4 linked regions of the Kluyveromyces lactis genome follow. The protein of the gene in region 4 interacts with the protein of the main gene of each other region in a biochemical or structural test. Links are inferred from orthologs where the notes say so. Each region holds a gene or a part of one and is shown on either strand. Other genes may lie near its edges.

Region 1 (3,933 bases), about 140 kb from region 4:
TTCAACACCAAGTTCCAAGAACTTGAAGATTATAGGTTCCAAAGTGGCAGCATCAGCAAAACGAGACCTTCTTGAAGATAATAAATCAAATAGAGATTGCAACGCAGCCATTGGCTCGCCAACAGAGACTAATTCGTCAGCTCTTCTAATGGCATTCTCAGGACGTAAAGCCGGTGGAGCCATGATGAAATGCTAGTATAATCGATGGGTCGAGAACGGTTGTTATCTACCCTTTCTAAATCAGAGACTAGATCCAAGTATATATCTTTATTTTGCAAGGTGCAATAGGAAGAAGTTTCACATAAATAGACTGAAAAGTTTTTTTTCACTTATTCTCTTTGATCTTCAACGGAAGCATGCTGAAAAATTTCAACCTTCATCAAAAGTTGATATCATTGAGAACGAAGTTGAAGTTTATGTGCTATGTCGCGAGTACATATCACATATGTATAATATATATATATATATAAATGTATCATATTAGAAATGAATAGTATAATTCAAGATGATTGCACCATTAGATCAACAAGTTCATTGACGGGATCCTCATCGTGTCTTGCTGTTTCAATGTTTGTGAGTACTTTTTTCACGCCGACGTTGAGAGTAGATGTAACTTGGGATAATTTGCGGATAACTTCGACTCTACCAGCATCGTCAAGAAATCCGGAATCTGTCATAATGTTATTCAGTTCATCTAGGTTTGATACGTTTGGGACAGCAATTTCGTTGTCGAAACAACTTAGTATATCCATTTGCTTAAGCACCGTGTAAGCGGACGTAGTAGAGATGATAAGCAAACGACGATTATTTGGAGGTTTTCTTTTCAAATAGACCTTGAGTACTTGTAGGATATTATTAGAGAACCTTGGACCAATTGGAACCCAGTCAACTAGAGTCTCTATCGAATCGATAACTAGAATGTTAAGTGGCGATTTGTAAGCATCTCTGAAGGTATTGTCGATGTATGCGATCTTGGCCGTTTCCGACATACCTGCTATTTCTTCAGGGGAAATTAATCTAACAAATGGGAACTCAGACTTCAATGCAATGGCGGCAGCTAAGGCAGTTTTTCCTGAACCTGGAGGACCATGCACTAGTAAGGATACTAGTCTTGATTTGTCTGACTCTCTCACTTGACGGACGTATCTAGCACCGTTTTTCAAAATGTCGTCTACGGAGTTGGAGAACCTAAAGACTCCACCTTCTACGCAAGTCTTCAAATCTTCTTCACTAACACCAAACGCAGGAGTCACTTCATCTAACGCATTCAAGAAATCTTGTCTAGTCACCTTCATGTTTGCAATGTCTTTGGTTTTTAGTTTGGTTGCCCCTTTTCCGATATTTACAGTCTTGTTGATTGCAAAAGAACTAGCACTCTTCACCAAACCCTCAATTTCAGCACCGGAGAAATTCTTCGTGAGTGATGCAAGTTCTTTCAAGCTAACATCATGTGCGAGCATGTTGTTTTCTCTCATTTTCTTGGTTTGGATTTCGAAGATTTGTTCTCTACCTTCTTCGTCCGGTAATTGAATTTCAACTTGTACTTCGAATCTACCAGGACGTAGTAAAGCGTTATCAATCAAATCTTTACGATTGGTCATACCAATAACTAAGATATTGTTCAATTGATCGACACCATCCATCTTGGCAAGTAATTGGTTGACAACATTATCACCGACGCCAGTTCCATCACCTCTTGAGCCTCTTTGTTTGAAAACAGAATCCAACTCATCGAAAATGATTATATGTAACGAGGACTCTTCTCCCTTTGCCTTGTATTCAGCTTCCGCGTCTTTGAATAGGTTCCGGATGTTCTCCTCTGAAGATCCAACGTACTTACTCAAGATTTCAGGACCGTTCACGATCTTGGGTTCCTTTGCGTTTAACATAGTACCAATTTTACGGGCAATCAACGTTTTACCTGTACCTGGGGGTCCAAACAATAGAAGACCCTTGACATGGGAGATGCCTAACTTTTCAATAACAGCTGGAGGGAAAATTCTGCTAGCGAATGCCCTTCTAAAAATCTTGGTAAATTCGCGGTCTAAACCACCAACGCCTAAGTCTTCAAATTTGAAATCAGGTCTAATAACGGCATCCGATCTTGGTCTCAGCGAGTTGGACGATTTCAAATTAACCAATCCATCTCTTCCTTTGAAAAAGTTTATCTGAGTTTGTTTGATTAAGATTGCCTTAGCTTCAATTGAGGTAGAAACCGGAGCTACAATTTCTACATCTCCCAAATCAATAGTTTGCGTTGATCTTACTCTTAGATCGAAGATATGTCCCTTAAACTCGAATATCAAGTACTGCGTTGGTGAGAATATTTGGGATTCAAAACTCTTTAAAAATTGCTTAGCAAGTTCATCTTGATCAAAAGGAGTCTCCACGGCTTTTCCTCTAGACCTGAAACTGATTTCCAGATCCACAGATCCTAGATACGCATGCTTGCCCGAATGTTGGAATAAATCGTACGGTTTCACCTGTACATCTTGATTCAATGACCAACCTCCCCAAGTACGTTGGTTACCATTAAATCCAATGGTACCAGGTTGAGTTTCGTTAGAGTGTCTTGTGGTAAACACGAATAAGTTGTCTATAATAACGTAAATATTCTCTGGTAAATCGCTTGGTGAGACAGCTGCCACATTAGCCAATGCATAACTGTTGTTTGGACAGTTAGCGACACGCAATTGTCTAGTACTCATATTAACATTAGACATATCAGGTACCCCTGTAGAATGCGTGGCCTTTCCAAAAGATGGCAACTTGCCACTCAACCCGAATTTCTCCATATTTCAAAAGGGGCGCAATGACACTTATAGCTTTCTGTGAACTCTTGGATTGTCAATTGAAGAAAAAGAATATAATATTCACTCAACTGTATAGTTAGCTTTTAAAGATCTGATAACGATACCTTATATTACTTAGTCTTCTCGTACTGTTTTCAGGCAATTGTCTGTCTAATTGTAGGTAAAGTATTGTTTCTCACCTATTGTTTCCTCGATTTCATGGTTTTTTTTCAGAATGTATGCTGCTAACATTAGGAATTTGTCAACAGAATCAGTTTTATAACAGAAAGCACATCATTTTAAGGATGAGATCATGAAAGCACAATAGTGGCTGTAATCAATTGTCCAAGACAGTAGAGCACTCTGTGAACACAGCAGGTTATTGGCTGCTACATAGAAAATCAGCTGAATTTTTGACATGACTACTGGTGCTCTGGTGGCAGGGCACGTCGATGGTGAAACGATGACTGTCACTGGTTCTTCGGATAATGCAAGGAGAGACAGAGACAGATGGCGGAATGGTAATATTTCCAGTCAGTTTGTGAACGAGTTTGGCGAGTGGGAAAAGGATGAGAATGTGACGCAGTGTCTAAGTTGTGGGATCAAGTTTAGTTTTCTAGTGAGGCGTCATCACTGTAGATGTTGTGGCAGAATTTATTGTGCTACTTGTTGTTCAAAATTCGCATGGTATGATAAAAACCGGGTTAAAGTGGTTTTGAAAAGTCCAGCAGAGTATGAAATGGAACCGTACAGGACTTGTGATTCCTGCTATGAAAATCTATTACAAATGAAGCTACTGAGAACTGCGTGGGGTGAAATACAGTTACCGAAACCACCAAGACGAATCGGAAATTCTATGGGATCTACTTCCGAAATCAACTCCATCCGATCATCGTCCATAAGGCCTTTTGAATTTATGAAGAACCAAAACGTTGTGGAAAATGTACGAGAAACTGAAAGCGAGAGAAATAGTCCCAGGAATATACATGCTGCTGATGAAGATTACGATCGATGTCCAATTTGTAATTTTGACTTACAAGTTTTCGGATCAGAAGAAGCAGCCCAACAAGAACATGTAAGCGAATGCATACGGCAAGCAGAACTTGCTCAACAGCAGCATAGTCTTATCGGAAGTCCAACT
Region 2 (3,003 bases), on a different chromosome or scaffold from region 4:
GAACGTTTTAGAGATCATGTTACCCCTCAGTTGATGTGTTTTCATTCATCTAGTGATATTATCAATCAACTGCCTTTTGCGTAGGCTCATCTAGTAGATTTGCTGAGGAAGTATCATCATATTCATTAAAAATTGTACCAGCATTCTGAAATATTAGGTTTGTTTCTTACCGTAAGAAGATGTAAAAAATTGTGATACATTTCTTACTTAATTGTATATTTATTCAAAACGGTAAGGGAGCCGTTCGTCAGAAGCTTAAAAAACATTTTCGTTACCATTAACATCTTCAAAATTTCCAAACGTCCAAGCCAGATGGCAAGCTTATTTGCATCGATATAGTTGATAATGGGAAATGAAAGACGTTAACGTGAAACAAACCACTCGATGTGGTTGTACAAATGGGTATACACCATTTATAAAATAATTATTCCACCAAAAAAGTGACAGTTGTGTTAGAGAAAAGAATACAATTACAAGAGAATGAGTTGAATATTACCATTTTATAGTAGATCGTCATCCGCCTCGACGATTGTATTTTTCACCTTCAAGAGTATAGTTGTTTTCCAATGGTCTAACTTATTGAACCTATCATATTCGTAGATCTTTTGCGATAATTTTTCAGTATCACCTTCCCTTACAGCTTCAATTACGTTTGATAGTAACTCAAACTCCCTTGATTGAGAGAATGATGGATCCAACGATTGTGATTCGTTCAAACTTTTATCTGCAGCTACAACATCACCAGCAGCAAGGTAACATAGGCCAATCTTCAATAAGTACTCTTTGAGCGACCACTGGCTTAATTTATTCCCCAATGAATTTTCAACGACTTTCTTTAAGATCTCGGTAGCTTCCAAATAATCACCGTTCAAAGCTTTCAAATCGGCGCATTTAATGTAGGATTTATTCGAGAGAGCAATAGCTTGGTCTTGCAAATACCAATCACCAGCTGTTTCATAATTGGCAATGGCACTTGGGTAATCCTGTAATTGCTGTTCTTGTAATTCAGCCAATTCGAATTTGAAGTTGGCACCTCTTCTAAACTGACCTCTTCTTGTGAAAATATCTATCGACTTGGCTAAGGACTCAGCAGCTTGTGCTGGAGAAGATCCTGTCTTGAAACACTTGTAGGCTTCGATATACGTATTTCCTGCTTCATCTTCATTAGAAGCCTGTATTTGACACTCTGCTGCCCTCAAGAAAGTATCACCCGCTTGATCCAACTCCTTTCTTAGCCTATAGAGGTTTGCAGCCTCGATATAAAGATCTGCTGCTTCTTCGTAACGGTAAGAGTCTGAACCGCTAAGGAAACTGAAAAATCCTGATGATGGTTTAGCCTTCTTTTCGGCCTATTACAAAAATGACATGAGATATGTTTCCATACCATTAAGTGAAAAAGAGAGAATACGAATGATAAATCACTTCCTCTTTCATCACATTATGGCTAGGGTTTGCATATGTTTATTGTTAGTATTAGGGGTTCAGGCGAGAATAAGGTCAACCATTGTCATCATACTTTCCTAGACTTATTGATTTGACCTTTCAACATAAATGATGGAGAAAAAACGTACCTTAGCTATAATTTCTTTAACATCCGACATATTCAAAGAAAACCTGAGTGGGATATGGCTGAATGCTGTTAACTTTTGTCAACCAAGAGCTTGCTTACAACTTTTACTATCAAACTATCAACATTGTATCATCATTACATGTTACATATTCTAATTACCATCAGAAAGTAAAGAAATTCCTTAAGGGGAGAAACAACGGAAGGCTATCAGCAGCCGGGTAATTAATTCACGTGACTTTCAAATAGGCTGGCCTGGGAGCCGGTCCAAGGTATTTGGCTGGACGCGAGGATGAACACTCGACCATCACGCCTAAATCAGTTATATAGGGTAGATGGAATATAAAATAACACAAAGTGGAAAGATACGTTTTATTGAAGGATACTTATAACATGATTATACGATGCAACAAGCTTAAGCTTCAGCCATGTCTCTCAATCTTCTGATGGTAGATCTGACGGTAGCGGCAGCGGCGGTAGACAAAGTGTAAGCACCACCAGCGATGGTTCTGTTACAAGAAGAACAAGACCAGACACCAGCAGCACCTCTCTTAACACAAGTCTTACCACAGAAAGAACAGTTATAAGTGGCGTGTTGTTGAACTTCCAACTTCTTAACTTGTCTTCTCAAAGAGGAACCGTAACGGACACCGTACTTACCAGTGATACCAACCTTCTTAGTTCTTTTAGCCCTGAATATAAAATGAATTGTGTATTCATTACGTCCGATTCCAATAGTTCGATTCAATTTGTTCACATAATGGGTGGTAATGAATCGATACCACAGGTAGAATGGGTAATAACACAGATATAAAAGTTAGTAAAATTGTTGCAATTAAAGGAACAACAGTTTTTTTGGGGGAGGAGGTCTAATAGATCGTCATTTATTCTGCTGTCGTGCGTGTGGAGCTGACACTATAAATCATCACACTGGAATTTTGCATCTAGCTGTAGTTTCTTGTGCTTATGGTATAATTCCAGTTACCCATTTGTCACTACACTTCTTCTATGTTGATTCCATCTCCTAGTGAACAGGTCAGTCTGCCTGTATCGTATCAGTCTGCTTCTTCTTCGTCTTCTTCAATCCTCATCGTCTAGTCTATCATAGTTCATAGTTCAACTTGTTATATCGATCACTGAGTTCTTCGGCCCCATAACTGTGCGCGGTGTGCATTAGGTATCATACATTTTGGTTTCTTTGTGTTTGCTTGGTTTCTGGAGGGTATATAAGAGTGAATATGAACAACTATAAAACGTAGTTAACAACCTATACAATCTTTAAATTCTAATCACTTGCTAAAGATGAAAACTGGTTGGTATTGTAAATGAGTTTGAAACTCGTCAAGTTTGCAGAATTGAAAAAACTGTGAGGATGAAAGATCCACTGTCCACTAAAACAAGCGTAGACCGAAAAGAGGATAGTAGATTTTTTGTTA
Region 3 (2,504 bases), on a different chromosome or scaffold from region 4:
TTGTATTGGTAGCACAAGACGTGAATCTGCAAAACTTGCTCAGCGCTCCGGAAGCATCATCAGTAGCGAAGAAGACGATGAAGAAGGTGTGACCTTCGAGAAACTGAAACAGAACCAGTTAGCCGAAGAAGAATCACGTCTAGTAAATGAATTAAGGAGGCGTCTATCTCATACCACTATCAATTCAGCTGATGAAGATGAATTAGAATGTCTTCCATGAACAGCGCTATGCTATTCTGACCGGCCTTTTTCCATCACTATTACTATCATTATCATTATTATTTTTATTATTATTATTTCTTATATCGTTCTTATTTTATATACAACTAGATAAGTATTCAAAATCAGATATCATTTATACACGGTAAATTGTATTCTTCTCATGAGAGTATAAAATTATACCACAAGGGTCAAAATTAAAATTATATAAATTCATTACTATAGCTATTCTGCTTAAACTTGCATTGAGACTGAACTAAAAGACGCAGAGAAATCGATTACTATTTGAATTTGGAGAATATCACTAACAAGATAAGTAGTATCAAAACCGCTATTATTGCGTAAGAAATGAACTTATTGGCTATGAGTCTTCTAGTCATGGTTTTCAAAGTGCGAATACTCTTGTCGACGTACGAATCAGCATGGAACAAAGTTTGTCTTGCATTCTCCAATGTTTCTCTTTGAGATCTCAAATCCATCATTATCTGTGCACCAACGTTCTCAGTCTCGGATGCCAGTCTTGTAGCATCCTGTAATTTATCACCAGAACGTTGTAAAAGCGCATGGTTCGATAAAAGCTGTTGCCTTTGTTCATCATTATCGAAGTGGCGACCTTCAAGTAACTTATTCCTATCGCTTTCTTGCACCAATTGCTTTAAAGGATCCTTAATTTCATTCTGACACTGTCTCTTATAATCTCTGATCTTTGCTTTATAAGATGCCCTTGTCTTAGAATCCAACGAGTTCCCTGTATTATTCAACTCTATTTCCATTTGATCCACTAATTCTAAAGATTCATCATGGTACTGTTGAATTTGTAAAAGTATATCCGATTTTCCACCTTTTAAAACAGCACCGGCATCATTCTTAGCATTAGCAAGCAAAACCTTCGCCTGGTTTATAGCGACTTGACATTCAGATTCATAGTTCTGCAATAATGAGGACATCCTGATAAAATAATATGGTTCAGAACCTTCCTTTTTATATTATCTCTTCCCGAATTTCACAACCTAAAGGAAATTTAAGGTTTGAATGTAAACTTGCAGGCCAATGTACGTCTGAAGTAGGCCCCGTTACCAGCTATAACAGCTTAATCACCAGGCCTGCTTTTCGTTGATTCCTAACATTAACTTGAACTCATGGGAGAAGCTTCAATAAAGGGAATAGAAAGAAAAAGAAAGAAAAATACATTGTTCACGTGACTTTGATTGAGTCATGTAAAGACCAGTATCTAGATAAGGGCAAACAATCATTTTGAACCACATCCGCCAAATCCGCGGAAGACCGAGGTGGAATCAGGCCCAGAAACGGTCTGTTTTTTTTGTCTTTGGTTTCATTTCATACCGGCGTTTTCATGAACACTGACAAATTGGGAAAAATCCGATGAGATTCAATAATTGAATGATTAACAATAAGCATTTGCCAATTTCGATGTGAACTGAAGGGAGAACTAGATATAAAGCAACCTTTTTTTGCCAAATAAAAGCTACTTAAGAATCAGAGTTGATAAAAGTTCAGGACAGCTTTTTTTCTCATTGTGGTATAGCAGACGGAAAGGGTCTTTGGTTTCCTTTTAGTAACACTTATCGTTGTTGTTTGTGAATTATTTTTAATCATCCATATCTATTTGGAAAAACTCCTGTATAATCAATGATCAGAGGAATATTGACTAGACAAGCTGGGCATCTGAACCAGTTAAGAGCCAGAAGCATTACTTCTCCTAGCATCTCTCACAACATATGGTTAGCCCGTACAAATTTGTCATGGAAGAGATACCATGGACATTTACATAAACCGAAACCGGGAGAAGAGTTGCATGTGACATTCATATTGAAGGATGGAACACAAAAGACTTTTGAAGTGGCAGAAGGGGACTCTCTCTTGGATATAGCTCAAGGCCATAATCTAGATATGGAGGGTGCCTGTGGTGGTTCTTGTGCTTGTTCGACCTGTCACGTGATTGTGGACCCAGACTATTACGACGCATTAGAAGAACCTGACGATGATGAAAATGATATGTTGGATTTGGCTTACGGGTTAACTGAGACAAGTAGATTGGGATGTTGCATTAAAATGAATAAGGATATCGATGGTATCAGAGTCGCTCTTCCTTCAATGACAAGAAATGTTTCATCTTCAGACTTCGAATAGAGAGAATGACTAAACTGAATTCAGTCATCATATGAAAAGAGACAGCTTTAGATCTTTCTTTTTTTCCCAACAGGGGAAGCATGACATGAGTGACACCAGTTGCATTACCTGTAAATAGGAGCAATCAACCAAGC
Region 4 (2,501 bases):
TCATCTTCGCTTTGATATGTCTTCTGCTTGCTCATTGAAGGAGAACTAGCCACATCGTTTAATAATGATTCAATATCGTGGTCCTCTTCCATTGAATCACAATCGATAGGATTAACGCTATCAGCTTTAAAAGGTACAACATCTTTACCTTTAAGTGGGGATGTATCTACCTGAGGGTGTTTATAGTTCATAGGCGTAGTATTTGCAGGTTGTTTTCTGGATATCGTTAGCTTCGGCTTCTTAACCAGAGGCTCTGCGTCAAATTCACTCAAAATATCATCAAATTCAGCAAGTGACACTTTCTTAGGTTTTTCTGTTGGCATTGTCATTTTTCTCTTGACATTTTGTTGCTTTATGATATCGCTGATGGTATCCTTACCTTTGTTATTCTTACTGGTCTTATTACGCTTTTTGCCTGACTTTGCATCAACACCATCGTCTTCATCAGAGTAGAACTCCTGACTTTGATCCCATTCATCTACACCACGATCCACATATCCACTGCCATCATCATCTTCAACAAAATCATCTCTTAACAACTCTTGTCTTTTCTTACTCCTATATTGATCCTCGTCAATCAAGTCATACACATTTTCTTCTTCCAGTTGTTCATCTAGCACATCCCTATTCGATTTATTATTCCTAGCTTTCTGCAATTTTTTGAGCAGTTCAAGTTTGTTCGCATTACTCATCCCGAGCTAGTGTTTTAATAGTGTAGGGTGGCAGTACGAACTACCCTAGTAATTTAGTTTTGTTGTCTTTCCTGGTTTGAGTTGCAAGAAGAAGATGATGAAGATGTTCTTACTTTTACGCGTTCTTTTTTTTTTTAAAGTTGTATCTATCTGCAAAGCACGCGTTCGAAATCTATGAACTTAATGGCACCAACGCTGAGACAAAGCGAGAGTGCATGAGAAGAAAAGCGAGCGAAAGATTGAGTGACAGTAGAATACCGACAACACTTGAGTGGTTAAACGGTGAAGCCGCTGAAGTGTTAGAGAGTGTGCGCTCCTCAATATTATGATACGAATTTCCATTAGTTGAACCAATTGGCGTTGGCTTGGAAAGAAAAATGGATCACATGACCTGTGGTTTAAGACTGTCCTCAATTTTAAAGTGCTCAAATTGAGGTTTGTGATCATTAACTGAAGGGAAGGATAACTGTTAAGGAAACAGCTGATAGCAGGACCCGTAAAGATAATCGCGTTACATCTGATGTCCTTTTATCAAAATAGTACTCCAAAAAAGGAGGACAATCGTGCAGATTCTAGTGGAAACGATGCGGTGCCTTTGTTGATAACACTAGAACAGAATATTCAATTACTCAAGCGTAAAGCTCATCTAATAGGGACAAGCAAGGACGGACAACTATTGAGGGTTGATATAAAAAATAGAGTAATCCCCGAAATCCAGAAAATTAGTCGAAAACTGGCTGACTTAACTTCGCTAGATACACAAGATAAATTTGCTCGAGATTTTCAAGCGTTAAGCAAACAATATAACAGTGTAAAGACCGATTATGAGAATAGGGCAGTACAGAATCCCATACCTGACGAAGAGAGTAAAGATAATGAATCGGAACATCTCGTATCGCAATATGAAAGCATGCCAATACAAGACGATATCGAGAGGAGGGATCATTCTTCAGAGGATACTCCGTTACTTTTGTCTACCCAACAGCAAGAGCCTTTGTTGAATCAGGATGAGTTAGATTTTCACACGATAATTCAACATGAAAGATCCCAGGACATATCAAAAATCCACTCTGCTGTGCAAGAGGTCAATGCCATCTTCAAACAACTAGGAAGTCTGGTACAGGAACAGGGCGAACAAGTTGACACAATTGGCGAAAATGTGACAGGATTATCTAATAATTTGCAAAAGGCGAACAAAGAACTTCACAAAGCAAATGAATATCAAAGGAAAAAGAACAGATGTGGTACAATACTTCTAGTAGCTATTGTTGTTATCACTCTAATAACTCTTATCGCGATTCTATCATAGGGTTAGATTCTACGAGGAATGTAACTATATATTAATACAAAATTTATCTCTGGCCTTATACTTGGATGAAAGTTACGTTACGTTTTAGAGAACACGCATCATCAGGTAAATATGTCCGACTTAGAGGTTACAACTAATTATTAATCATAGCTTACTTGTCAGTATCCTTTTTAGTGCTTTCGGAGGAGTTATTTTTGGATAGTTCATAAGACTCAACATTCTTGAGATCTCCACGTTCAATGACAAGATTTTTGAGAAGTCTGTTTTCCATTTCAAGGGTATTGATTCTTTGCTTCAAGTCACAAGCTAACTGTGAAAGATCTTGGACCCAAGTTTCCATTTCTTTCTCTTTAAGTTTTTTAGTTTGATCCAAGTTCGGCAGTTTGGGTCTTGAAGAAAGGGTTGAGGAAGTGGACGACGATTCTACACCATCACTGGAGGAATTGTTTTTATCAGAATCAGTATTATGCTTTTTTTCGTTTATCTTCTCATCGAGACTC

What was found.
Region 1: the proteins of VAM3 (region 4) and SEC18 form a complex in vitro, tested with the Saccharomyces cerevisiae proteins (2 studies listed by BioGRID). The link is inferred for Kluyveromyces lactis from reciprocal best matches to the Saccharomyces cerevisiae genes VAM3 and SEC18.
Region 2: the proteins of VAM3 (region 4) and SEC17 form a complex in vitro, tested with the Saccharomyces cerevisiae proteins (3 studies listed by BioGRID). The link is inferred for Kluyveromyces lactis from reciprocal best matches to the Saccharomyces cerevisiae genes VAM3 and SEC17.
Region 3: the proteins of VAM3 (region 4) and VTI1 form a complex in vitro, tested with the Saccharomyces cerevisiae proteins (6 studies listed by BioGRID). The link is inferred for Kluyveromyces lactis from reciprocal best matches to the Saccharomyces cerevisiae genes VAM3 and VTI1.

What each region holds. Positions count from the first base shown.
Region 1 is NC_006039.1:1,269,005-1,272,937, forward strand, and holds SEC18 (AAA family ATPase SEC18), read right to left. Parts: upstream 2,796-3,933; coding exon 501-2,795; downstream 1-500. Other genes in the region: RPG1 (translation initiation factor eIF3 core subunit a), read right to left, coding at 1-183; PIB1 (phosphatidylinositol-3-phosphate-binding ubiquitin-protein ligase), read left to right, coding at 3,211-3,933. UniProt on the Saccharomyces cerevisiae protein: Required for vesicle-mediated transport. Catalyzes the fusion of transport vesicles within the Golgi cisternae. Is also required for transport from the endoplasmic reticulum to the Golgi stack.
Region 2 is NC_006041.1:529,694-532,696, forward strand, and holds SEC17 (alpha-soluble NSF attachment protein SEC17), read right to left. Parts: upstream 1,602-3,003; coding exon 1,572-1,601; intron 1,350-1,571; coding exon 501-1,349; downstream 1-500. Other genes in the region: RPL43B (60S ribosomal protein eL43), read right to left, coding at 1,983-2,259, 2,754-2,755. UniProt on the Saccharomyces cerevisiae protein: SNARE complex protein that binds to cis-SNARE complexes on membranes and is required for vesicular transport between the endoplasmic reticulum and the Golgi apparatus and for homotypic vacuole fusion.
Region 3 is NC_006038.1:899,697-902,200, forward strand, and holds VTI1 (v-SNARE protein VTI1), read right to left. Parts: upstream 1,167-2,504; coding exon 501-1,166; downstream 1-500. Other genes in the region: KLLA0_B10263g (uncharacterized protein), read left to right, coding at 1-220; YAH1 (adrenodoxin), read left to right, coding at 1,870-2,370. UniProt on the Saccharomyces cerevisiae protein: t-SNARE found in various SNARE complexes involved in multiple transport pathways. The composition of the t-SNARE complexes is specific for a limited number of v-SNAREs and therefore allows only the vesicles carrying the matching v-SNARE to fuse.
Region 4 is NC_006039.1:1,128,520-1,131,020, reverse strand, and holds VAM3 (SNAP receptor VAM3), read left to right. Parts: upstream 1-1,212; coding exon 1,213-2,001; downstream 2,002-2,501. Other genes in the region: DNA-directed DNA polymerase alpha catalytic subunit POL1, read right to left, coding at 1-692; MET4 (Met4p), read right to left, coding at 2,153-2,501. UniProt on the Saccharomyces cerevisiae protein: Required for vacuolar assembly. Provides the t-SNARE function in a late step of the vacuolar assembly. Required for homotypic vacuole membrane fusion, autophagy and fusion of biosynthetic transport vesicles with the vacuole.